4 linked regions of the Schizosaccharomyces pombe genome follow. The gene in region 4 interacts genetically with the main gene of each other region. Each region holds a gene or a part of one and is shown on either strand. Other genes may lie near its edges.

Region 1 (5,505 bases), 3.4 Mb from region 4:
CAATAATGACTCTTTTTACCACGACGATACAAATTGCATTCATCTTTCACGTTTAGAAAAGATTCGGGAGCTTCTCACATTCGTACAGTTGGAACTTAAATATTATGTAGAACCTCTTAAGAAAGAATTACAAGAGACAAAGACTCTATTGGCTCAAAAGGAAGAAGAGATATCTAACCTAAAAGATAAATTACAAAATGCAGGATTATCTTAATTTATTCATTTACATTGATTCATGAATTAATTTTGGGTACCTTGTCAAAACAATTTGGTCTGAAGGATAACTGACATAATAGCTCAGCATATTCGACATGAGGAAACTAATTTAGAATTCTCTGTTCAACGACGGCAACATTACTCTATAATTCTAATTTGGCAATGTGCAGTGTTTTAAGTAAACAGTTGTAGGGTTCTCTTAATTGAGTTCACCCAGAGGGAGCTATTCCAAAAATTTTGTAATTTTTTGAGTTTGCGTATAGCCGTTAGTGGGCATGTTCATTACTTTTGTCATGCATGTCTTCTATGCACCGTGAGAGTATTGCCGAGCTGGCCAACTTATTCTTAAGATCCTCATTGTCTATTTCGTGAGCTGCAGTTGTAAGTATTTAACATTAGAATAATAGAGAGTTTATACATACCATCTTCCAAAGAGCCCCATCGATTTGTTTGGTACTGAAGTTCTAAGTTCGTCAAAGCGGCAGCTTTTTCAGAGTTCAAATATCCTTTTAAAATCATGAAAGAAACTATGAAGCTCTTGCAGCAACTAACAGATCTTTCAAAAGCTGCTAGTTGCCAAGAGTTCAGCGAGCTGAGCCAGTTTCTTATGCGTTCGTGTGTTTCCTGCGTTTGTTTATGGGCAATAATACCAGCATCACCATCCAAATAGCTTAATTGCACACCAAGTTTGTTTTCAAAGGTTTCTTTCAGTGGCCACCAATTTTCCTTTTGCTCCTCCAACAATTTCCCTTCATATTCTGTTTCGGGGGAGTAAATTAGAATTGTGTCGGTGTCAAGGAAACGAATTAATTGAGTAGAAAGTAGTTCCTTTTCTTCTTTTTTGAATTGTGATATGTCAATAGCTCTCGAAACTAGGGAAGTAATTGGGAGATTGTGTTGTCGAACAGAGGTTGATGGTAATCGATCCCATTCTAGGGCAATCAAGTGTGCTAGTAACTCCATTTCTTTAGGTACCTTAACAATCTTCCCAGAAGGTGATTTTAAATTTCGTCCATCTAATTGAATCAAGACTTCTCCATTTTGGATTTTGGTAGCTGTATTCTTCCAAAATCTCCTGAATGATGGTTGCGGCAAAGGAGAGGAAGCTTTTGTAGAGTAAAACGAATAGCACGTTTTAAATGACAGCAAGTTTTTGCTGGATAATCTGTAAAATTGTAAAGATCGAAGCATCTTACAAAAATAGAAAAAAAAGGGTATTCAAGGTGTCTATCTGAGACACTAAAAAATCTTTCGTACTTCAAACTGCCAAAATTTAATTTTTAATTATTGTTTAAGAGTTAATTATTATGATATACGTTTTTAGTTGGTGTTCTCCAAAATATTGGTTACTATGTAAGATGAGTCTAACAATATTTTGTCACAGGCATGATGAGAATAAGTTTTAATATTTTTTTCTAAAAGTAGTTTTTAATTAAGCAAGAAAAAACTCTTTTAAAATAAATTAATAGACGTTCCTATCATAGTTCCTAAACCGTTGTTTACGTTAGCCGCCTTGAATTTAGCTACGATTAAGACTACTTTTTGACAAACCGTAAATGTAAATTGATAAATTACAATTAGATACTCGGAAAATTAGAAGGAACCTTAAAAAAAATCAATTAACATGTGCTGTTAAAAACTTAAAGTTGAAGAATAGATACAAACAAAATAAAACCTTTCTATAAATGCTACGGTATTATTCTACATAACAAACTACATTTACTAATCGAATAATAAAAATTAGAACAGGATATTGACTATCAACTCGCGTTATGAAAATCCATCAAAAACTCATTAAATATTATTACAATAAAAACCTTGCGCTGGTACAAAAGAACATGTACATTTTTAATAGCTTAGCTATAAAAAATGCAAGTAATTAAAAAATTTAGCCATTTATAGACGTTATACCAAAACCTTTTTCTTCTCCATTTTCCTTTTTGCATATTTTGGAGGCTGAAAATTCGGTATATTGGAAGTGGCCAGCTTCTCAGAAACCAAATCTATAGGTTTGGGTAATTCTTTTTCAACCGTTGTTTCTGCATTCAATCTTCTTATAATTTCACCATCCTGAGACGAAAACAACGATTTAGCTTCACGATCAATTTCTTCTTCCTCAAATTTCCGCTTTTTGGACTCCTCTTCTTCAATTGATCCATATGCATCTTCCTTTAAGAGAGCGATTGCATCATCAATGTTAACTCGAGACCTTCGAGCGCTCTTTTCACGTAGTTCGTCGAGTGCATCACTAATTTGCATTTGTCGTTTAGTGTCTAATGTTTTTTGTTCTAATTTTTCCATTTCGTCCTCCTCAGGAATGTCATTGCGTTCAGCTAACTCATTTTCTTCATATTCTTGTAATCTTTTTTCATGCCACGGCTCATAATTCCTGGAAGCTCCACTCTCTGCTGCATAATCTGCATGTTTTGGATCGGTTATAAATGTTATTTCAGCAGCACACCTAGTGCAGCGAATATAAAACCTCAATATATCAATTGAAAAATATTTTTCGCCGGTTTTCTCCTTCCTAGCGTTAAACTTTTTTCCTTTATATATATACTCTCCACAAGTATGACAGCGCATTGAAAATGGAGTCATCAAACGAACAGTCAATTTCCCACCATTTGGTCCTTGAAACTTTTTCTTTTTCTTAGGAGGACGAATGGAAGGATCATAATCGGGCGGGATATACTTGTTAAGTACCTTTCGTTCAGACATTGTTGGAAACTATGAAAAAAAAATGAAATGAACGTACGAGAATTGCTTTACCAAATTCAAAAAAAAAGAATAAATTAAAGTAAGGAAAATTTAACCGTCCTTTTGGGTTGGAATTATTTGACTTTACAGATGAATTTGAAAATGCTAGTTTTATGTGGATATGCGCTTTTTGTAAGCGAATGGCAAAAGTACTAGTACTATCTGTAGTTCTTTGACACTCGATACGTCGCGGTAATAAATTGAATGCGCACATAGCACTACGTAAACATATTTAGTACCATCCTTATATTTCCTTATACAATACCTGAGCTGAGCTATCGAGACGTGAGCAAGCGTTGTTTGTCAATCTTACACCTTCCGGTGTTTTAAGAGTACTTTAGATTCCCTTATAAATTGTGTATTATTTAAATGCTTCTGATTAATTTTGACTGATCAGTCTCCATAGTACTTTACGCTTACAGCAATAGACAATTAATGGGGTTGTTGGCATTAATGGCAGGAATAGATGATTTATATGAACTTGGTTAAAAATCGCTGTATTTCAGCTTATGTTCGTCTTAGTAAAGTTGATAGCAATGATCATAAGAAAACACCTGCTATATTAATTTATCATATGTTCATTTAAGTAAAGCTTGTGGAAGAACCCAAGTTTAAAATGGTTTAAAAGATAACTGTATAGTAATTACACAATTGTCATTTTTCGTTAGTTTAATAACTAAAGCTTTGTGAAAAGAAAGACTGACTTATATGTACGTATGTAAATCATTAAAACGAGAAGAAAATAGCTAACGATGTCCGCAACTGAAAAGAATGAAAGCTGACCCGGGATATTCTGAACAAATCTTTTTTAGCAGACAATATCGAAATGGGATTGCCTCCATATCGAGATAAAGTGTTCAACTGGAGAGAGTATATGTGGAAATGGTACCACCAATTTAATGAAAATTCAACTAGATAATGAAGCACCGATTGTTCAAAGTACTATTCTTACAACAACGAACAATTTGATTGAATTGACTTCTTTTAAAATAATACTCCAATTAAAAACAAACAAATTAAGCCGACATTAGCGATATAGAAGTCGGTATACGTTTGTTCATTAGTCTGAGTTGGAAATAACATAACTCAAACAACACCAACGAGTGATATGCTTGGCTATCAAAGTAAAGAATCTAAATGAGTGAAAACTTGAAGAACAGCAGCGACTACCTCAATGAAAAGTAGTTGCTCTTCCTTCACAGAGGAAAGTTCTTCGGAAATTAGCTCAGGCAAGTTAGCGCCAACTGACGAAGAAGCATGAAGATCAAAAGGCCATTGCGAAAAGTCACAGAGAAGCTCGTCTACGCGAGAAAATGCTTTTTCACGATCTTCATAGTTTAAATTGTCAAGAGCGTTTTCAAGAACATTAGCAGCGTATGAGGAACAAGCAAGGGCAACAGTGCGAAGGCAACGAAAAGACAAATATTCTGGGAAAGAAGGTGAATTATCAATTTCAATTACTCGTGAAGTAAGAACAGAGACCACTCTTTTTTTAATGGAATCTTTAATGGAGGTATCGGCAATGGGATGAGTTGGCATGTCGAAAAGTAAGAAATTCTTCTTCTCATTTCTTAAAATCCCTTTGTCAACAAGGCCCTTTGCCAACCGTTCGCGTACTTGTCTTAATTGATATCCAATCTTCATCACATTCCACGTTTCACCACTCATCAAATCAATCCAAGAGGTTACAGACATGAGTTCGCTAGTATGTATCATTTTAATAGCTTCGTCTAAAAGAACCTCACCTGTAAGTTTTTCATCAACCAACTCCACTACACGATCCGCTAACGGAAAGCGTTTACGATTAACGTCTTTTTGCATACGCAACTTTCCACGAAATGCGAGCTCCATTAGAATACATCCCCGAAGAGAATAAGAAATGCTGTCATTCCAAAAAGAAAGATAACCTTGCTTGTCTTTTAGACCCAATAACAATACCTCCTCCATCAGTGTAAGCCTGGGTTGCTTTTCCCTTTCCGCGCCTTGTTCCAAATCCTTTGGATCAAAAGCGATTTTATGATCATCATCGTATCCCTCAAGATGACTTTTGGAATGAGAGACGCTCCTCATCTCTGGACGTTCTTCGTCCGAACTTGCGGCAGCAACCCTCCTTCGGGAAAGTCCACCTGACATTTCTTTGAATTTTATGCCTAAATACAAGAAATTTCTTGTTGTCTATATCAAATAATCAAGAAGATGAGAGAGATATGCAAAACGTTGAAAGCAAAAGTATGCAATACAGGAGTTTCGCTAAAGAAAGAAACGTTCAAACAAATGGGAAAACTTTTGATTAAAAATACCTTTTGCTTTTGTTTCCTCAGAACCTTGACGGCCAATTAATCCAACTTTTCGTTGGGATGCAAATTATTATAAATTGGTAGGTTGAACCAGAAGTACCCAACTAAATACCGAATTTTTTGAAGATACTGGGAATATTTCCACCAAAGAACTTTGGAAGACAACAAAGAATTAATAAATACTTGATATTTGAGGATTGTATGTTCGCGCAGTTCTGCCCGTAAGTGGTAGCAG
Region 2 (6,323 bases), 4.7 Mb from region 4:
TATCAAAAAAAAAAAAAAAAAAAAAAAAAATTAAGATATATATGATTGTAAAAAATTAAACTCTTTCAAGTATGAACAATGTCCCTTGATCATGTCCCAACTTTTTAGTAGACGTTCTGTAAATCGCCGAGCCAAACTCTTCTTCTTCAAGCTGTCACTCTTAGTTGCACAACATATCAAAAGGAAATAGTCCAAAACTAGAAAAAGTATACAATGGAAGATGTTGATTTGGGATTCCTTTCTCAAGAAAAGCTCGACGAAAAAGACTATCTGGACATCGAATGCAGTAGAGTTGGGGGTGCCCCTTTATTCATCAGAAAAAATGATGCTGCTTTCTTGAATGAATCCTTAGAAAACTCGTTTGAGTTTTTAATGCAATTATATGCACCGAAAAACTCTGAAATTTCGTACCACAGAATATTGTATATATTCATCAACAGGGACGGAGACTCACAAACAGCAGGCTGGACGAGAGGGTAAGTTAAACATTTATTAGTAAATCGTTTTATATTAGACGACTTGATGTCAAAAAAATTATTGGATTTCGGACCTAATATGTTTTTTGAAATCACATTGTAAACCAGCATTTATCTTAATTGTACTAACTTTACATTTACTTAGTGTTAAAGTTTTTAGGGAACAAGCTCGTGAAACAGATGAAATAGACTTTCAATTAATTACATCAAAAGTAACTAAATTAATTGACTCTTCAGAAATTGAAGTTGATGCCGAACCAAAAGAGGAAAATAAAAAAGAAATACCGGAGAAGCTAAAAAATGTAAAAGTAGATACTGAGAATCCTTCCGCTGAACCGTATACTAAAGCAAAAGGTGATGTCTCATTCCTGAAATTTCAAAAACGGCTTTCAAGAGCGCCTGACCAAATTATGCGTTATTACCATGCGACTTCTAATGAATTTCCTGGTTTATGGTGCAATAATGAATGTATACCTTCATCTATACCCAATTGCGCTTGCGGAGCTAAAAGGCAGCTTGAATTTCAAATTTTACCTACTTTGATATCAAGTATGAATATTGATCATTCTGCGAAAAATGCTCTGGATTGGGGAATATTATCTATTTATGTTTGCTCTGCTTCGTGTGATTTAGCCAACTGCGGGCTGGCCGAAGAACTTTGTTGGCTTCAAACTTTTTCAGAGCAAGGAATTATAGCACCTGAATGATCTCCTATACGGCGGCATATATTTATGGAAAACGGAATTTAATTAGTGTTTATTGTGCAAATAGTTACGGGATTCTTGACTTTTGAGATGGTTGCTTTCGTCCGGTTGAAAACATTTGTAAGAGGGGCATGAGTAGAGTTTCTTTTTATGATTACAGTGAGTAGAGCAGGTTAAGAATCTAGTACTAGATTACTCGGCGTAAGTTAAATCTGCTGCAAAGAACTATGCAAAAAAAAGGTTACTTTAATAAATTTTTCGCAAGAGATTCGAGATAACTTTTTCTTTTAATATCTGCTAATTAAGTTTGTGATGTCTCTTAAATTGCTCATGCTTCTAATATCCTATAGTTCAATAAGCCTTTTCTTGTTCGTGTGTCCAAAGTTGCTAAGACCTCCTTTTGAAAAGAGGCAAACAAGCATGTAAAGAACACCCAGATATCAAACCACCCACAATGGCGCAATGGAGAAATAGTTGTTTTATCATTACAGCAGTCAATTATGCATTTGTTTTCATTTTATAGACGAGACTTTCGCTTATTATTTACCTTTATACTACAGATCATCAACAATGTCAGCAAATAAAGTTAAACGACTTTATCAAGAGTTCCAAAGCTTACAGAAAAGATTACTAATAAAATTTAAAAGACATTTAACGACTGTATTAAATTAAAACACGCAGCATATTCATTGAATACACGCTTTAAAAATTGTGACATCAAACACAATGAACTTCATGGTTGGTAAAATAAACGAATGAATAAATGAAAGATCGATGTAATAAGAAGCACATCTCCTATAAGCATAGTTCAGAAAGCTTAAACAATCTGATAGATGGCAGAGTATTCAAAAAAAAGCGACAAAAACCATGAAACAAAATATCATAAAAAAGAGTTTCAGAGCAAGAAGAAATAAGAGTATTTGACAGTTTAAAGAACGAAAAAAAAGCATAAGAATTACCATTATATCTCACAAGATAATTTCCCATTTTGTGTAAATTTAAGGAGTTCAAGAAATATAAATCTCTCCGACTTCACTTAATCCACCAGAGGAACTGATAAGGGCATTGTTATTACCAACACCGGCTCCGAGTTCGGTAGCAGGAGCAAACCAACTGTAACGCTCAACAGATCCATGTCCATCTAAAAAGCCAAGAGCGCTGGTCATCAAAGTCTTAACTTCATCCAATGAAGGTAAATTGCTATCATCCCAGTTGGTGCAAGCAAATTCAGTAAGCCAAATAGGGAGACCGTAATTGGCGAGAGAGTTAATATAATCTTGCAAATTGCTAAAGTCAATACCATACCAATGGCAAGCAATGAAATCGATCTTACAATCAGAGCATGCGCTCATGAATTCAGAAAGCCAATCTTCACCTACGTTACTGATGGCAGGTGATCCCAAATAACCAATGGCACCAGATTCACGAAGAGGTGTTAAGTATTGAAGATAATAACTAGCTGCAGTAGCTGCATCTATAGGATTTCCAGCAGCGGACAAATCAGGCTCATTAAATCCAATGACGGTAGCACCACCAGTGAAAACAGAAGAAGCTGAAGAAAGGCTATTGGCATCATGTTGGTTGAGAACATATTCAAAAGAGGAACTCAGACCAGATGAATAACTACCCCAGTTGTAATACCAGTTGATGCCCTTATTGACAAAGTTATCAGAGTAACCAAGGTCAGTTCCAGGAATCCAGGCCAAACCGCGCTTGCCAGAAACTGAAGAACTAGTAGGAGATGCTGATGCAGAGCTTGAGGTAGCACTGGAAATAGTACTAGAAGCAGCAACAGAAGTGGCACTAGAGACAACAGAGGAAACGACAGCTGAAGAGGAGGCGGCAGCTGAAGAAACAGCAGGAGTACTAACTCCCTTGTTAGCAGCAGAAACACTGGCACTTGCAACTACAGAAGAAAGAGCAATAGATGATGAGGAAGTGGGGACGTAAGATGTAGCAGAGCCAGCTGATATCTCTGATGAAGAAGCAACTGAAGACGAGACAGGAGCCACATAGGATGAAGTTGACGTAGCAACTTCAGAGCTAGCAGGATAAGAACTAGTAACTTCAGTACTAGAAGCAGAATAAGAGCTAGCAACTTCAGTACTAGAAGCAGGATAAGAAGAGCTAGATTCGGAACTGGTAGCAGGATACGAAGTGAAAAATTCAGAACTAGAAGTGGCAGATGTCTCGGGAGTTGATACAGGGACAGAAGTATTGGACCATACGGGTGCAGTAACGTTGTCCATAGTATATAGAGGAGTACTAACAAAAGTGGCAGGGTAGCTAGTGGCAGAGGAACTAGCAGCAGGGGCACTGGTTGTTACAACCACAGATTCCGTAGAGGTAGTAGGTAAAGCCGTTGAAGCACCATCGTCGGACGACTCGGTAACAGAAGCTAAACCAGTGGAGTAAGAAGTATATGAGGAAGATGAGTTAGCACCAGGAACTGCGGTAACATAAACAGTCTCCAAGATAGTCTCATACACGGTTAAAACGCCATCATCATCACGACGGTGATGGCGATGGTTAGGAGCATAGGGCAAAGCTCCAACGGTCGATAAAAAAGCTAAAGCGACGGTCGCGAAAGTAGTACGCATTTTTTTAGAAAATACTAGATAAAACGCGTCTAATACTAAAAAAAGAAAGAAAAGATGAAATTTGGTATATAGTTGATATATAAAAGAGTGGAAAGGAGTGTTGCTAAAGAACGGACAACGACTCTTATAGACTAGCTTCTACTGTGGTGGTTGGTGAACGACAAGCCGCGTTCATTATCAAGCCACTCATATATATACCAGTTATGAAAATTTGATTATACATAAAAACTTTAAATATAATATTTATTAAATTTGCTGAGTAAATTCAATTTTTTAAAATCAAAGTCAGACTCATATTGAGGGAAAAATGAATCTGAGTCGGTTACCACTGAAACACCAGGTCCACCTAATTGAACATCGTAAATAGAATTTTTATGGGCTAATAGTGATTCTTTACATAACTTAAATTCCTCTTCTTTGCACTCAGGTGTTAATAAAGTAATCGTACAACCTCCACCACCGGCACCTGTAAGCTTCGTCCATCCAATTGACTTAGTGGCTTGTAAAACGCGATCAATGGAATAATGGGATACACCCAAGCATTCTAAGAGTTTTTGATTAAGAACAATAAACTCTCCTAACTTTTTAGCGGAGGAGTTTTTATCGCTCTCCGAAGTCAATGCGAGGACGGCAGACTTTGATATGCCATCGATTGCATCTATTATTGAGTCAATCACAGTTGGTAGTCTTTCCTTCAGTTCAAAAACTCCTTGTACAAGTTTTTTAGTACTTTTTGGTTGTTTGGTATCAGTGATCATAACAGATAAGGTATCTTTAGGCTTTAAGAATTCTTTCATGGCACTCTGATGAGCTGTAGCTTTACGAAAAGCGATAAGTCCTCCATTTGTTGCTACTGCATTATCAATACCACTTGGTGTTCCATGAATACAGCATTCACCTAGAAAAGACCAAGCCTCTATCAACGCAAGTGCTTTGTTGTTTTGAAGAGAATTTGAGCTAGGAGGTTCAATATTACCAAAAGCTAGTAGTAAACTTGTAGCGACAACAACTGATATAGTAGCACTACTACCTAATCCAGCACCCAAAGGTACTTGGGAGCTAATAGTTAAAGTACAACCCTGAGAAGGAGAAGACAAAGACGTGAACAAGTAAAGGGTACAAAGCATTGCTGAGTGAATAAGTCCGTTTTCTTCATTTTTTAATAGCTCTCCTAATCCTTGTAAAAGGTCCAGATTGGGAGATGATGCCGGGTGCTGAACGTTTTCCACTGTTACATGCTGCCAAGGTAGCGATTGAAGATTCCATCGGCGTTCGGTCCCTATATCACTCATCACAATTACTATTTCATTGTTATTAGTCGTCTGTAATTTACAGTAACTCCGTAACGATACAGCTGCAGCTAACGCAGTCTAGAAAGTTAGCATAAAAATTTAAATGATCTCCATATTTTCGCTTTAAAATGGCTTAAGATTAGAATCAAAAATAAGCATGGCTATAGCAGAATGACATTTGCGACGACTGTCAAAGTTAAAAGTGGTGTTCGCTTTGCAAATACTATGTTACAAAGAAATCATATATGCATAACAGAGCTGTATCCAGTACTAGCCTGTTAAAAACTCTCGCTAATGTAATCTGCTTTAAACCTTAGGTAAACTTACAGCTCCATATACAACGGCATGTTCCCCAAACAAAATCGTTTTTCCTGGCGACGAAACAATAAGCGATTTTGACATTTCAGAAATTTTTTTTACGTTCAACTTCAAAACACAGTTAAAATAAGGTGATGGTAAATAGGCGACGAAGGTTGGTTATCGACAGATATCTACGCAAACAGGACAAGGTGATGATGGTATTGGAAGTTGTAGCAAAAGATTGGTATTTTAATTAAAAAGTTACTTTATTTGATTTTGTTTTAAAAGTTCTTTTGTAATAAAAATCGCGATGTTATAGTTTTCATATGCGCTAAGGAAAATGACTTTTTAAACGAGGTATACAGCGCAAAACTCGTTAGACATTTACATAAAACCATAAAATACTACATTTATAGCTTATAGCAAGAAAGCAAGAGCAAGTACATATATGATGAGTATTGATAACATAATATTTAAATAGACAGCTAAGCAAATTGAGAAGTAGTGTTCAGGTATAAAAAAATGCTGTTTAGTAAGTACATAATCTGATGAATTCATTAAAAAGTTTACTCATTAACAAATTAAAATATCTTAAAATAGCCATGCAAGTTATTCTCCCGTACAAAGTCTAATAAATAAATAAAAAATACAACCAATAAACCGAAAAACCGAGAAAGCAACGACGCTCCAAAGTCTATTATAGTTAGTCAACTGATAAAACAGTCTTGAAATCAACGTACAGAAACGACAAATAAGCGCTTGTTTCATTGTTTGAAATAGAGATCCCGTTAATTTTTGGTATACTTAGAACAATTCCTACCAAAAATAGGTTTGAGAGAATCCAGGTAAGCACAACATACGTTCGAAAATTTTTGTAAAAATCCTCTTGCTCTCCGTGATTAATGATGGGACTGTTGAATTCTAATGAAGGAGATGCCAGCAGTTTAACAG
Region 3 (6,696 bases), on a different chromosome or scaffold from region 4:
TATACTGTAGTCAAATTGATTTTGCTTTAGTTATAACCTGTGAGATCTGGTATTTTATTGAAAGTAGCATAGTTAAGCACTATCCAACTTCCCATCAACATGAGCTACAACTCCAATCCTTATAACGGTGGGCAATATCCACCATATAATACATATACTAGACCTAATTATTCACCAAATAATGGTTCTCAAAGTAATAACACTGTACATCAATATCAGCCTCCACGTATGCCACCCCCTTCCACAAGGCCTCAGACAGACGGCAATTCTAATCAAATCCCTATGGAGAATGTTGGTCATATAAGTTTGAGCTCTGCAAACTCCCATGCTTATGCCCCACCCTCAGGTCCGCCTCCGAATACTGGTGCTAATTCTTATGGCAACCCAAATTATAGTGGGCCTCAGCTGCCAAACACTCAGACTCAATCTTATAACTTAGCAGGAGGAGGAAACTTTCAGTATCAGTATTCAACTTGCCAAGGGAAGCGAAAGGCTTTGCTGATCGGAATTAACTATCTCAATACCCAAAATGAGTTGCAAGGTTGCATTAATGGTACGGAATGCGAAAGGTCAAGTAAACATATATTAACTTGTTTAAGATGTCATGTCTATGTCCCAACTGCTGATACAGCGCTACGGTTACAAGCAAGAAGATATGGGTATGGTTGATTACGAGAACATCTTGCTAAAACTTTTTTAGTTATTATGACAGACACGGCAAGCAACCAAAGGGCAATTCCCACTCGTCAAAATATGTTAGATGCGATGAGATGGTTAGTAAGTGATGCCCAACCTAATGTAAGTTATATGTCATGGGATTTACTTCCTAATGCTAACTATTTAGGATGCATTATTTTTTCACTATAGTGTAAGAATCATCACTTTACATCTCATACTCACATGCATAGGGCCACGGAGGGCAAACAAAAGACCTTGATGGAGACGAAGTTGATGGTTATGATGAAACGATATATCCACTGGACCATCAATATGCCGGGCAAATTATAGATGATGAAATGCACGAAATAATGGTTAAGCCTTTACCAGCAGGATGTCGTTTAACAGCTCTCTTTGACTGTAAGTCAGTGATTTTAATCTATTTTTAACAAAATATAGCTTGTCATTCAGGTGGAGCTCTCGATCTTCCTTTCACGTACTCTACCAAGGGCGTTCTAAAGGAGCCAAATATGTTAAAAGAATCTGGTATGGATGTACTTCATGCTGGCCTTTCTTATGCCTCTGGCGACATTATGGGAGCTATCAACAACGTGAAAAATATATTTACCAGTGCTACCAATGGATTTAATAACAACGCTCTACAGTACTCTAGACAAGTTAAGTTTTCTCCTGCTGATGTTATTTCTTTATCCGGATGCAAAGATAATCAAACAAGCGCAGATACAAGTGTTAATGGATTCGCTACTGGTGCTTTATCATACGCCTTCCGTGAAGTCGTCACTCAAAATCCCCAACTTAGCTACTTGCAGTTGCTGAGAGGTATTCGACAAGTACTTTCCAACAAATACTCACAACTGCCCCAATTAAGTTGTAGTCATCCTTTAGACATGAATCTTGCCATGGTTTTATAGTACACTAAACATTACTTGATCATTGAAGTTCTATATTTTTGTAGTTCCATCAGATATTTAAGGAATTTTCAATTAAGGATAAAATTTAAATCACAACAACTCAGGAAATCATATCTAATACTTTATTGAAATATTTTTGTTTGCAATTTATAATTTTGCTTAAAAAACGAGCTCAAATTAAAATTATACACGCGAGAAAACTCATGGCTCTTCCAGTCCGTTCTGTTGGGGATGAAACCATTCAGATTTGATAGCCTGTTTAACTTCTGTAGCATTCTTTATGGAATCTTCAAGCGAATGTCCGCGAGCACAGATATAAAACTTAAGTTTCGGCTCTGTACCACTTGTGCGAATAGTCATAATTACCTCTCCATTTTCAAGCTCAAACGTTACGTTATCTGAACTTTTTGAAACTGGTAAAGTAGCTTTACCATCCGTGGAGCTTGAGTCGTAACCTGTAGTAAGGTCGCGAACATTTGTAATTTTCTTACTACCAAGGGTTGCCGGATAACCCGATTTTGTGTCATAATGTCTCAAGGCATCAACCAAAGCACGAAGCTTGGGAGTGTCGCGTGAAAGGAAATATGAGTTTTGCGTAGTGTAATAACCATATTTTTTAGACATTTGCTCAAAAACCTCGGTAATTGAAAGATTCTGAAGTTGAAGGCGTTTCAAAAGATGAAGGAACGTAATCAAAGCATTAACCCCGTCTTTGTCTCTAACTATACTACCTACCATATAACCAAGAGCTTCTTCATATGCCAATCCAATAAATTTCCCTTGTTTTTCCAATTCTAATGCTTTATTGCCTAACCACTTAAATCCAGTAAGTGTTTCAACATGATGGAATCCTTCTACTTTGGCCATGGACTTTACCATAGCACTAGAGACAGTAGTTGACAAAACGTAAAAATCATCAATTGGCTTTCCAACGTTTTTGTATTCTTGAAATATAAAATAGGCAAGGATACAACCAACTTCATCTCCGGTAAATCTTCTCCAAGCACCATTAATTTTTTCTGCAAAGGCGAAACGATCTGCGTCAGGATCAGTTGCAAGGACATACGAAATACCATTAGCATCAGCTTGCTCGTAAGCCAAATCCAATGCCCCCTCCTCTTCTGGATTTGGAAATTTCACAGTCGGAAAGTCAGGGTTTGGAGAATCTTGAAGAGGTACAGAAATCATATCGCCTTGTTCGCCAAATAAGTGTAATGCTGAAGTAACAAATGGTAATCCAACGCCATGAATAGGAGTGTAAACAAATTTCAAAGATTTCATTTCCAAGGAAAAGTTGTTTTCGGAATGGAATTCGTGGAGCTGAGACCAATAGTTTTTTAAAAGACCAACTGCAAAATCCCGATCTGCTAGTTTATGATTTTCAACCAAATTTTTGTCCCAAGTAATGGGCGTTAAGTTTTTTTCTATACATGCAGCAATTCCCTTGTCATGGGGAGGAATGATAGCACAACCGTTTCCCCAATAGACCTTGTATCCGTTATAAGCTGCGGGATTATGGGAAGCAGTAATCATAACACCAGCTGCAGTCCCTAGGGTTTTAACGGCAAAAGGGACTAAAGGGGTATGGACAAGATGATCGAAGAAATACGTTTTGAATCCTTTTTGCAAGAACACTGCAGCAGTAAGTCGAGCAAAAGTATTAGACTTATGCCTATGATCGTGTCCAATTACCACACCCAGCTTTGCAGCTGATGGTACGGTTTGAAGCAAATACTCAGCGAAGCCTTGTGAGGCTTGAATCACGGTCAAACAGTTCATGCGAGCGAAGCCAGCACCAATTTCAGCTCTCAAACCTTTGTAAACATTAGTAAATGAATAAACGAACTTGATAATGTTAAAACATTAAGATGTATAGAGAGAACAATCGCAAGCTGAAAATCTAATTACACTTAAACCAATTTCGTACAAGCACGTTATATAACATTCCAAGCAAAAAAGACCAAAACAGATAGAAAAGAAGAAGAAGAACGAAAAACTCTTTCTGAAATATGACCAATATGATCATCACAATAAATTAGTATACGCAGTAAGGAAAGTGACCGATGATCAAGTATATCACTTCGACTCTAATCAAGGAAAACACAATAAAGTAGTTTAAGCTACCGGCTGTAGCACTGAGAATTCTTTATTAAGAAAGAGGCATTATTTAGCGTTCTCTTTCAATCCACTTCAACTTGCGAAATATCTCTTAACAATCTCAATTTTTTCTTCTTTTGTAATAAAAACATACCAGATGTACCAAATCCAATCCTTGGATGCATAATTTGCTTGAGGGTGGCATAATCTTCAGCCTTAATCAATTGTGAAACTTCATTCCTCGTAGTTTCATCCTAATGCGTTCAATCTGTTAGTTCCACAGTACTTCCATAGTAAATATAGTCCTAATACTTACTTGATCTAATTTGAACCACTCATCTACTAATTCTTGCAAAATCGGATCCATCTTGCCAAATGGGAATTGTTACCATTTGTTTGCTACACACACAATACACGTATCTCATCACCTCGTTTAACGCGTCCTTACGCCGTGGTATTTCGTATCCGTTTTCTTACAAAAATGATTTTAATAAAATAGACTCAAAAACAAAAAGTAGTAATAATATTATACTCATGACCTCCAATTATTCTAGAGAATTTCTTAAAACATTAGCTGCAAAAAGAAGCCTAGTAATTTGAAAGCAGCAGTTAATTACGATATATACCGCTTACAAAAAGGAGAAATTGGAAGAATTCAAGACCTGACGTCAATTCGCAAGCTGAATCGTTTTAATTAATAGGCGTCGGACAATGGGATTCACTTAGGCTTGGCGACGTTCTTGTCTAAAAATTGCTTGTCGGAATGTGTCATTGAACCGAAAAGGTTTGAAGCTCTTGACTAATAAACAACAGTAACTGATGTTAACTTTTTATAGAATATCCCAGGTTTCAATTCAACACGTTTATTCATAAATCTCAATCTATGTTATGCAGATGAGATTGAAAATCAATACCATCAAGTACAACTTCTCTAAACTGAACGGGTTAAGTATGGAATGGTTTAAAGTTTTAAGTACTGGATCACTCCAAGCTTTGAGATACGATAAGAAAATTAGTGTTAGTACATTTGTGGCTTTAATCACACCTTTTCCATAACCAGGAACTAAGTTTTCAAAGATCTACTATTCGATGATGAAAAAATAGCATTCATAAAGTTGATAACAGCATACATAAATGAAACTGAAATATTGAGGAGGTAAGGCAAACATGATGACCATAGTTTCAATTGACTATGTAATACGTACTATGGCTCATTAAAACCTATCAAAGAAAGAGAAATACGAATAAGAGGAAATTCAAGCCTGTTTAGAATGAGAAGAGAATAAAGATTGGGTTTTGGCGAAGGATACGCTGTTGCATTAAAACAGCCTTAAATAGGTTCTATAAATGGTTAGCATGTAAAAAAAATTAAAATTGAATCATGAAAAAATATTAAAAAATAATAAAAAAACCTACCACTTAAGAGCTTGTTCAAATTGTTGAGACGAGAACCAACACTGACATCAAGAATATTATCACCAATTTCAACAATTAGTCCACCGATGATAGAAGGAGTAACTTTATTGCTAACCAGTAATTTACCCTTGCCATATTTCGATTTAGCTATCCGAGATTCGAGACGAGAAAGGATCTTCGAATCTAGAGGAGTAGCTGAAGTAATTTTAACTTCAATTTCTCCTCTTTTAGCGCGCATCAAAGTAGAGAATTGTTTCTGAATACGAGTTAAGAGATAAAGACGATGATTGTCTAACAAAACATTGTAGAAATTCTTCAAAAGGGGTTCATTTCCAGTCATCTGCGTCAAAGAACTAACCAATATTTTCTTATCCTCACGAGTCAACCAAGGACTAGAAATGTATTGTTCAAATTCCGGTCTCTGTTGAAGAACACCAGACAGTTTATTTAAGGCCTTCTCAACATTGTCCAACTTGGATTCTTTTACTGCAGCGGTATACAGAGAAGAAGCATAAGAACCTAAATAAGAGAAAAGAGTTAATTACCAAGACAAAAAATTCAGACTTTTGGATGACAATGAAGATATCAGTCAAAATGGTAGCAATTAAAAATCACCTTTTACAGTACATACCATCTAAACCATACAACTGGACAGGGGGATGAGCAGAAGCAGTTGCAGTTGCTAAAGAGCGAATTCCTAAGGAAGGTAATCGAGCAGTGATGGGAATGGAGCGACGAAAAATATGATTCATTGTAATGTTTCACACTCTCAACGTTTAAGGAAGTTGGTTAATGGCTCCGATCATACCTCCGTTTTGGTGTCATCCTTTAAGAACAAGCTACAACGTGCTTCCTTGCAATACTTTCTTATTCAGGTTGTTACCTACAAGTTGCCTATTTGTTAAATTGAATACAGGTTGATTATTAAAATGAGATTAATTTGAAATGTTGTATAAGTGGTTTTTCTTTTTTTTTCATTAGATAAGAATCAAATGCCAAATTTTAGAAATACACGCAATTGATCATTAGCAGTATTGCCAAACAATATACACTAAAAGCCTATGTGGTAGGTTGCCTAGTTGCCTATTAAAGACTTACATATTCTTACTATTCTAATGTATATCACCTATGTTTCTGGAGATGAGAGGAATTGTTGTGTGTGCAAAACCTACGATGGCAAATGATTCAATTAAGGGTTTTCATGTGATATTGTTCTTAGCAAAGCTGCTTCTTAAGATTGATTAAATTAATACATAAAGTAGTAAATCTAAGAGCAACTGAAAAGATTTCATATAGTAATTAAAAAGAAGGTAGCCGTAGGCAAGATTGTGCAAAGATTAGTAACGATTTCCCTTAGGAAATGCTGGAATTCAAAAAGAAGAGATAAAATGTTTAAAAAACCTTGAGATAGAGAAAGCCTTATTTCTTCAGAAGCCGAGAGCCAGCAAGTGAAAAGACATATAAATATATACCATTCAGGGCCATAATCCAAAAAAAAAAAAAAGAAAGTAAGCAAAAAGAGTTAAAACAGTTCAACGCAAATGTTTTCGACACCATTGTAAAATTGAAGCGTTTAAATAATATGGAAACCATA
Region 4 (5,323 bases):
CAATTACGGCGGTAACTATACGTATATTGGGGAAACGATCGTGAACATTTTTCAACCCTTCAGGCGAGGCAATTACATTGAGGAAAATGATTTGTTCTTGTTTGCAACCCATGTTGATAAGAATTTCCATAGCACAAATAGCAGAGCCACCAGTGGCTAGCATGGGGTCCAAAAGTAAGACATAGCGTTTAGAAATATCTTCGGGAAGCTTGATGTAGTGTAACACAGGTTTATGAGTTTCCTCATCACGCTGTATCAAAATTTTTCCAATACGAACAGAACGACAGCATTCACGCAATCCTTGTTCCATACTTTCGCCAGCTCTCATAATGCTAACGCCGCAAATACGACCATCAAACATTACACCCTCGTATTCAGCATTTTGAGCAGTCGTTACCTTAGCTGAAGACACTGGCAAGTGGTTGAGGCCCTCTTCAACAATTAAACGAATGATTCTATTGGCATAAAAAATAAATTCAGACTAAATATCATGTTAGCAGGGATAACAGATTCAACAAAGAATACACGAGAAGTTGTCGAATGTACTAACTGATAATGAATGCTTCCTATCATCCACTGATAAACATTTATCTCCCCATTAATAGAGGAAAAAGCTAAAATTTCTTGGACATATTAACACATTCATTTCAATTAGTTCTTAGACCTTGACTCAGTAATCTGTTGTAAACTGAACGCGCATACACGAGGTTTCGTTTTATCACGAATGATGGTAAACAACCCTTTTAATTGATTTGTCTGATTTAGTACGTACACATTTCCATGCTCAGGTACCAGCGACATCTTTTTGACGATGTATGCTTAAATATCTACCTATCAAGTTGTTTACCAAGTAAATGGTAAAAAGTAAAAGCACAATAACACATTTGCTTTTAAGCTATCAATAGCAAAATGAGTTTTATCAACCTTAGTATATTTCGTTAAACATAAATAAAGATTTACAACATCATTTCATAATAACATAATTATGATTAATGCGTTACTTAGCGCAGTAAAAGATTTCTACTCTAGCAGGCTTGGCAAAATTAAATAAGAATATCAATTAACTATTGAACATATTTTAGGGCAAGTTGATGTTTTTAAATGAATTACTGCTTATATTTAAGAATGAGAAAGACAGTACAAATTTTTGAAGCACACATTCATACAATTGGACTCCATGCAGCTTACAATCTTAATTGGATTTCAATGTTTTTTACTTGTAATTCTCAATTCATCCAACTGTATTCACAAGAAACCAAGAAATGAGTTGTATTGTAAGGATTTTTAAATCAAATGCAGTAAGAACACATGAACATATTTTCATATCTCTTTCATTCTAGACATTTTTTGTACATGGAGAATACAATAAGTACAAGGTCGAAGTCAACCACACTCTAGGCACTCGTAATTCTTAGCCTGTCATAGTGAACAGCGATTCTACCAAACCAAAAACAAAGCAATGAAATGGCTATCTTGCCAATGAGCAAGATATCACACCCATATTGATGGTACATCCGAATACCAACAAATAAGCTTAACACTATCGTCCAATTGTCGGTTCATCAGATGGAATCTCGAAATTCGTATGTTCGACGTCTTTAAAAAGGACAAATATATACAAGAGCATGCCTAGATTTGTATACACTAAGCTCGTCCGGTTTTGCCAAATACAGCGTCTTGTTCATTGCAATGTAGTTAATACCTTCTTATCGCTTCAGAGAAATCTCTTAATTGAAACGACTGAGCATCAACGAAAATAAGATCACCATAAATGAACGGAAACTTTCAACATTTAAGCTCTGAAAAGAATCTTCCTTTTGCAAGTTAGGCCAATAGCAAAAAATCATTCCTTTTCTTCCTCATAAGCTGCTTCAGGGGAATAGGCTTCTTGATCATTTATATTATCAACCTCTTTAGCTTGATTTGCAACAGCATCACAAGCATCAATCCAGTCGCTGTATACGTCGATGGGTGCCGAAAGAGCTTGATAATGTTAGTAAATAAGTGTACAAGAAAATTTCATAAAAGAACAAGAAATAAGAAGATAAAGAGACGATATAAAAGAAATTAACCGCAATATTAATCGTAATAATTTACGTGCCGCTATTGAAATAAAACACCTCTTTCATACCTGTAATTAGACATTGATGACTCTGACCACAAATTTTGCAGTGTAGATTTCCAACTCCTGATTGTTTATCACTATCAAAGTGTTAAAAAAAATGAAAGTAGTTAATAAGCATACAGACTACAGCTCACACTTTTTTCGTGGTTGCAAAATAGGCACGTAAACTAGTAAAGTTAGTAAATTTCGTAATTAAACTATAACTCACAGTCGTATCTAATGGGGGTGCCCTTCTTTTGGGTTTCACTTTTGCTTTTGCTTTTCTTTTACCCATTTGCAGAATCTGTTTACGTTTTGCAAACTGCAGATTCGTATTAGCGGGTTCACATTAGCACTCTCATCCTTAGGAAGGGTAATGCGGAAACTCATGTAATTTCGACACTTGGTAAGAGACGGTCTTATTTAATTTTAATGAATTAAATGTTTAAATATGATATTCTTATTGAGTTTACTGATGCACATTTGTTTCTAGAGTTCTTTCTATTCATGATGATACTTTGCTGTATGAAACGCAAACGTAGGCATACCAGTCTTACAAACGAAGCCAGATCCTCCATAAGTAAATCTTGCACTCTTTCTCGCAACGTAGTTGACCTTCTATGGTTATTTTGTAAATGCGATAAAACTCTCATTGACTAACTAGAAATTAACGTAAAACATAATTGACTTCTCAGCATTCACGTGACGCCGATTAATTTGGAATTACTGAAACATCTTAGCATAGGCCTTTTGTTGGCGCTTCTTATAATCTTTTTTCTTTTGACGAATTTCTGCAAGCTTCTTTGAAATTGCAGGATCGTTACCAGCCTTAGCAAGTGCTTTCTCTGATTCTTCAAAATTCTTCAAGAGACCTTGAGCACAACCCAAACGATAGTATGCTTTCTGTTTCTCTAACTCAGTAGAGTTACTGGCCTCAATTACAATGTTGGCGTTTCGAATAGCTTCCTGAGGTTTGTTCTGCTTCAAAGCTACAAGGGCAAGGTTTGCGTATATGCTGTATCGTAAAGCATTATACTCTTTCCAGAAATCAGGGGATTCCTTAGAGTCATCGTTGGGAACAGGGTATTCCATTAGGTAGCGCAAAGCTTTTTGCCATTTGGCAACGGCTGTATCCAAATTTTGCTGAGCAAATTGCTTGTTAGCAATTCCCTTTAAGTCGCTAGCAATTTTGAAAATGGCAGTCTCGGACTTATCACCCTCGTAATCATCAGGAAATTCTTCCAGAGAATCACCAGTAACGTCTGGCTTTGGTGCCTCAATCTGATCCTTTGTGCAAGTTCCACATTCTTCAATAACAACAGGTACAACCGGATCGTCATTTTTGGTCTCCAAATTTTCAATGGTACGAACAGTAGATTTTCCTTGAATTACCTTGCCAAAAACAACATGCTTTCCATCCAAATGAGGGGTGGGAACAGTAGTAATGAAGAACTGAGATCCATTGGTATTAGGGCCGGCATTGGCCATGGAAAGCAAGAAAGGCTTATCATGCTTGAGCTCAAAGTTCTCGTCCTCAAACTTCTCGCCGTAGATGCTTTCTCCACCCGTTCCATTACCACGAGTAAAGTCACCACCTTGAAGCATAAAGTTCTTAATTACTCGATGGAACCTTGAACCTTTGTAGGTTAAACAACGGCCATCCTTCTCAAACCCATTACACAACGAAGCAAAGTTTTTGACAGTTTTGGGAACTACGTTGTCGAAAAGTTCAAAGTAGATTGTTGGTTGAATTTTACCATCAATGCTAATTTTAAAATAGGCGTAAGTACTCATTTCGTGCAAAAAAAAACAATGATCGTTTTTAAGTAATGATATTTCACTGCCAGTCTCCTCAGTGTATTCACACCACAAAGTTGCTTTAAGAAGAAGAATGAATAGCGATTTTACGCAGACGAAATATACAGATCTGTGCAAACTATTTAGTTTTAGTTATTAAAAAGGTGGTGATTTATATTTGCAACCTACTGCGAAGAGATTTTCTACGAAACTTCTAGAAACATACTGTATTAAAAAAATGCTAGCAGAAGAAAATTTGACTTTTTATTAGACCAAAAAATATTTATACTTTTTTCAATTAGATTGCTTCTTCGTTAAAAATTCATAAAATACCTGATTTAAGTTAGCACACACGGACTATAAAGAAATATAAGTGCTGTTGAGTGAAGTCAACAATGTATTTAAATTTTAAAACACAAAATTGTGTTTCCTAATAGTTTTAAAACATATTTCGATGAAGTCTTCAGGCAATGTAATTACTTACCGATTTGTCAATTGAAACATTTCCAACTGACTTCAATCTCTTTTTCCCTTCCTTTTGCTTATTAAGTAGCTTTTGCTTCCTTGTTACATCTCCCCCGTAGCATTTTGCTGTGACATTTTTTCGAAGAGCCGAGATAGACTCCCTGGCGACTACTCGGTTGTCGATGACAGCTTGAAGTATTACTTCATATAGTTGTTTAGGAACTAACGGCTTCAACCGTTGAATCCATTCACGGCCTCGCTGAAGTGCAAGCGAGCGATGCACTATAGAACAAAGAGCATCTACAGATTTTCCACTCATAAAAATTGATAGTCGCACCAAATCAGCAGGAACGTAATCCGATTCTTCATAATCTAAGGTAGCGAAACCACTTGTTGTCCCTTTTAATCGACCAAAGAAATCTTCAACCAGGTGAGCAAGAGGTAATTGATATTTTATCATGCATCGCGATTCGGACATATAAGTGCAGTCCTTTTGGAGTCCTCGACAAGATTCACACAACTTGATAACATCTCCTAGGTACTCGCTCGGTGTTATAATTGTTGCATCGACGGTGGGCTCTAAAAGCTCAGATATACCTTGATGATTTGTTGGAAATAGATTAGGATTCGATATTACTTCTTCCCTTCCATTTTTATATTTTATGCGATACGGTACTGTGGGAGAAGTGATTAATAATTCCTTTCCATATTCATCCTTTAATCTGTCAATAAAGACAGAAAGATGCAACGTTCCAAGAAAACCTAAACGCCATCCCATCCCAAGAGCAGACGAGTTTTCTTTTTGTACATTAATAGCACGATCATTAAGGGCCAATTGTTCGATGTTATCATTTAGTCTCTCGTAATCCGAGCCATCCAAAGGAAAGGCGCCAACATAAACCATTGATTGGGGAATAGAGAAACCAGGTAATGCTTCAACATTAGATCCGATGGTTG

What was found.
Region 1: mutations in SPOM_SPAC1B3.02C (region 4) and cwf16 together harm fitness more than expected from each alone (negative genetic interaction), as found in Schizosaccharomyces pombe (one large-scale study listed by BioGRID).
Region 2: mutations in SPOM_SPAC1B3.02C (region 4) and asl1 together harm fitness less than expected from each alone (positive genetic interaction), as found in Schizosaccharomyces pombe (one large-scale study listed by BioGRID).
Region 3: mutations in SPOM_SPAC1B3.02C (region 4) and pgm2 together harm fitness less than expected from each alone (positive genetic interaction), as found in Schizosaccharomyces pombe (one large-scale study listed by BioGRID).

What each region holds. Positions count from the first base shown.
Region 1 is NC_003424.3:1,486,649-1,492,153, forward strand, and holds cwf16 (splicing factor), read right to left. Parts: upstream 3,108-5,505; 5' UTR 2,935-3,107; coding exon 2,122-2,934; 3' UTR 1,962-2,121; downstream 1-1,961. Other genes in the region: SPOM_SPAC9.11 (uncharacterized protein), read left to right, coding at 1-214; F1-ATPase chaperone Atp12, read right to left, coding at 483-589, 639-1,407; gpp74 (golgi phosphoprotein 3), read right to left, coding at 4,093-5,106.
Region 2 is NC_003424.3:190,109-196,431, forward strand, and holds asl1 (O-glucosyl hydrolase Asl1), read right to left. Parts: upstream 3,943-6,323; 5' UTR 3,781-3,942; coding exon 2,188-3,780; 3' UTR 1,820-2,187; downstream 1-1,819. Other genes in the region: tsr402 (SSU-rRNA maturation Tsr4 family protein), read left to right, coding at 214-476, 622-1,183; mevalonate kinase Erg12, read right to left, coding at 4,011-5,150, 5,400-5,474; chs1 (chitin synthase I), read right to left, coding at 5,982-6,066, 6,113-6,323.
Region 3 is NC_003421.2:2,263,868-2,270,563, forward strand, and holds pgm2 (phosphoglucomutase), read right to left. Parts: upstream 4,074-6,696; 5' UTR 4,054-4,073; coding exon 4,003-4,053; exon of another isoform or gene 3,941-4,002; coding exon 3,841-3,940; exon of another isoform or gene 3,601-3,840; intron 3,439-3,600; exon of another isoform or gene 3,404-3,438; coding exon 1,791-3,403; 3' UTR 1,668-1,790; downstream 1-1,667. Other genes in the region: metacaspase Pca1, read left to right, coding at 100-553, 600-659, 701-798, 845-868, 909-1,077, 1,117-1,589; F0-ATPase delta subunit atp5, read right to left, coding at 5,017-5,027, 5,103-5,621, 5,734-5,854.
Region 4 is NC_003424.3:4,927,118-4,932,440, forward strand, and holds SPOM_SPAC1B3.02C (Elf1 family transcription elongation factor), read right to left. Parts: upstream 2,429-5,323; 5' UTR 2,400-2,428; coding exon 2,334-2,399; intron 2,293-2,333; coding exon 2,246-2,292; intron 2,203-2,245; coding exon 2,132-2,202; intron 1,984-2,131; coding exon 1,844-1,983; 3' UTR 1,055-1,843; downstream 1-1,054. Other genes in the region: SPOM_SPAC1B3.01C (uracil phosphoribosyltransferase), read right to left, coding at 1-481, 703-801; cyclophilin family peptidyl-prolyl cis-trans isomerase Wis2, read right to left, coding at 2,828-3,898; GTPase GUF1, read right to left, coding at 4,196-4,234, 4,386-5,323.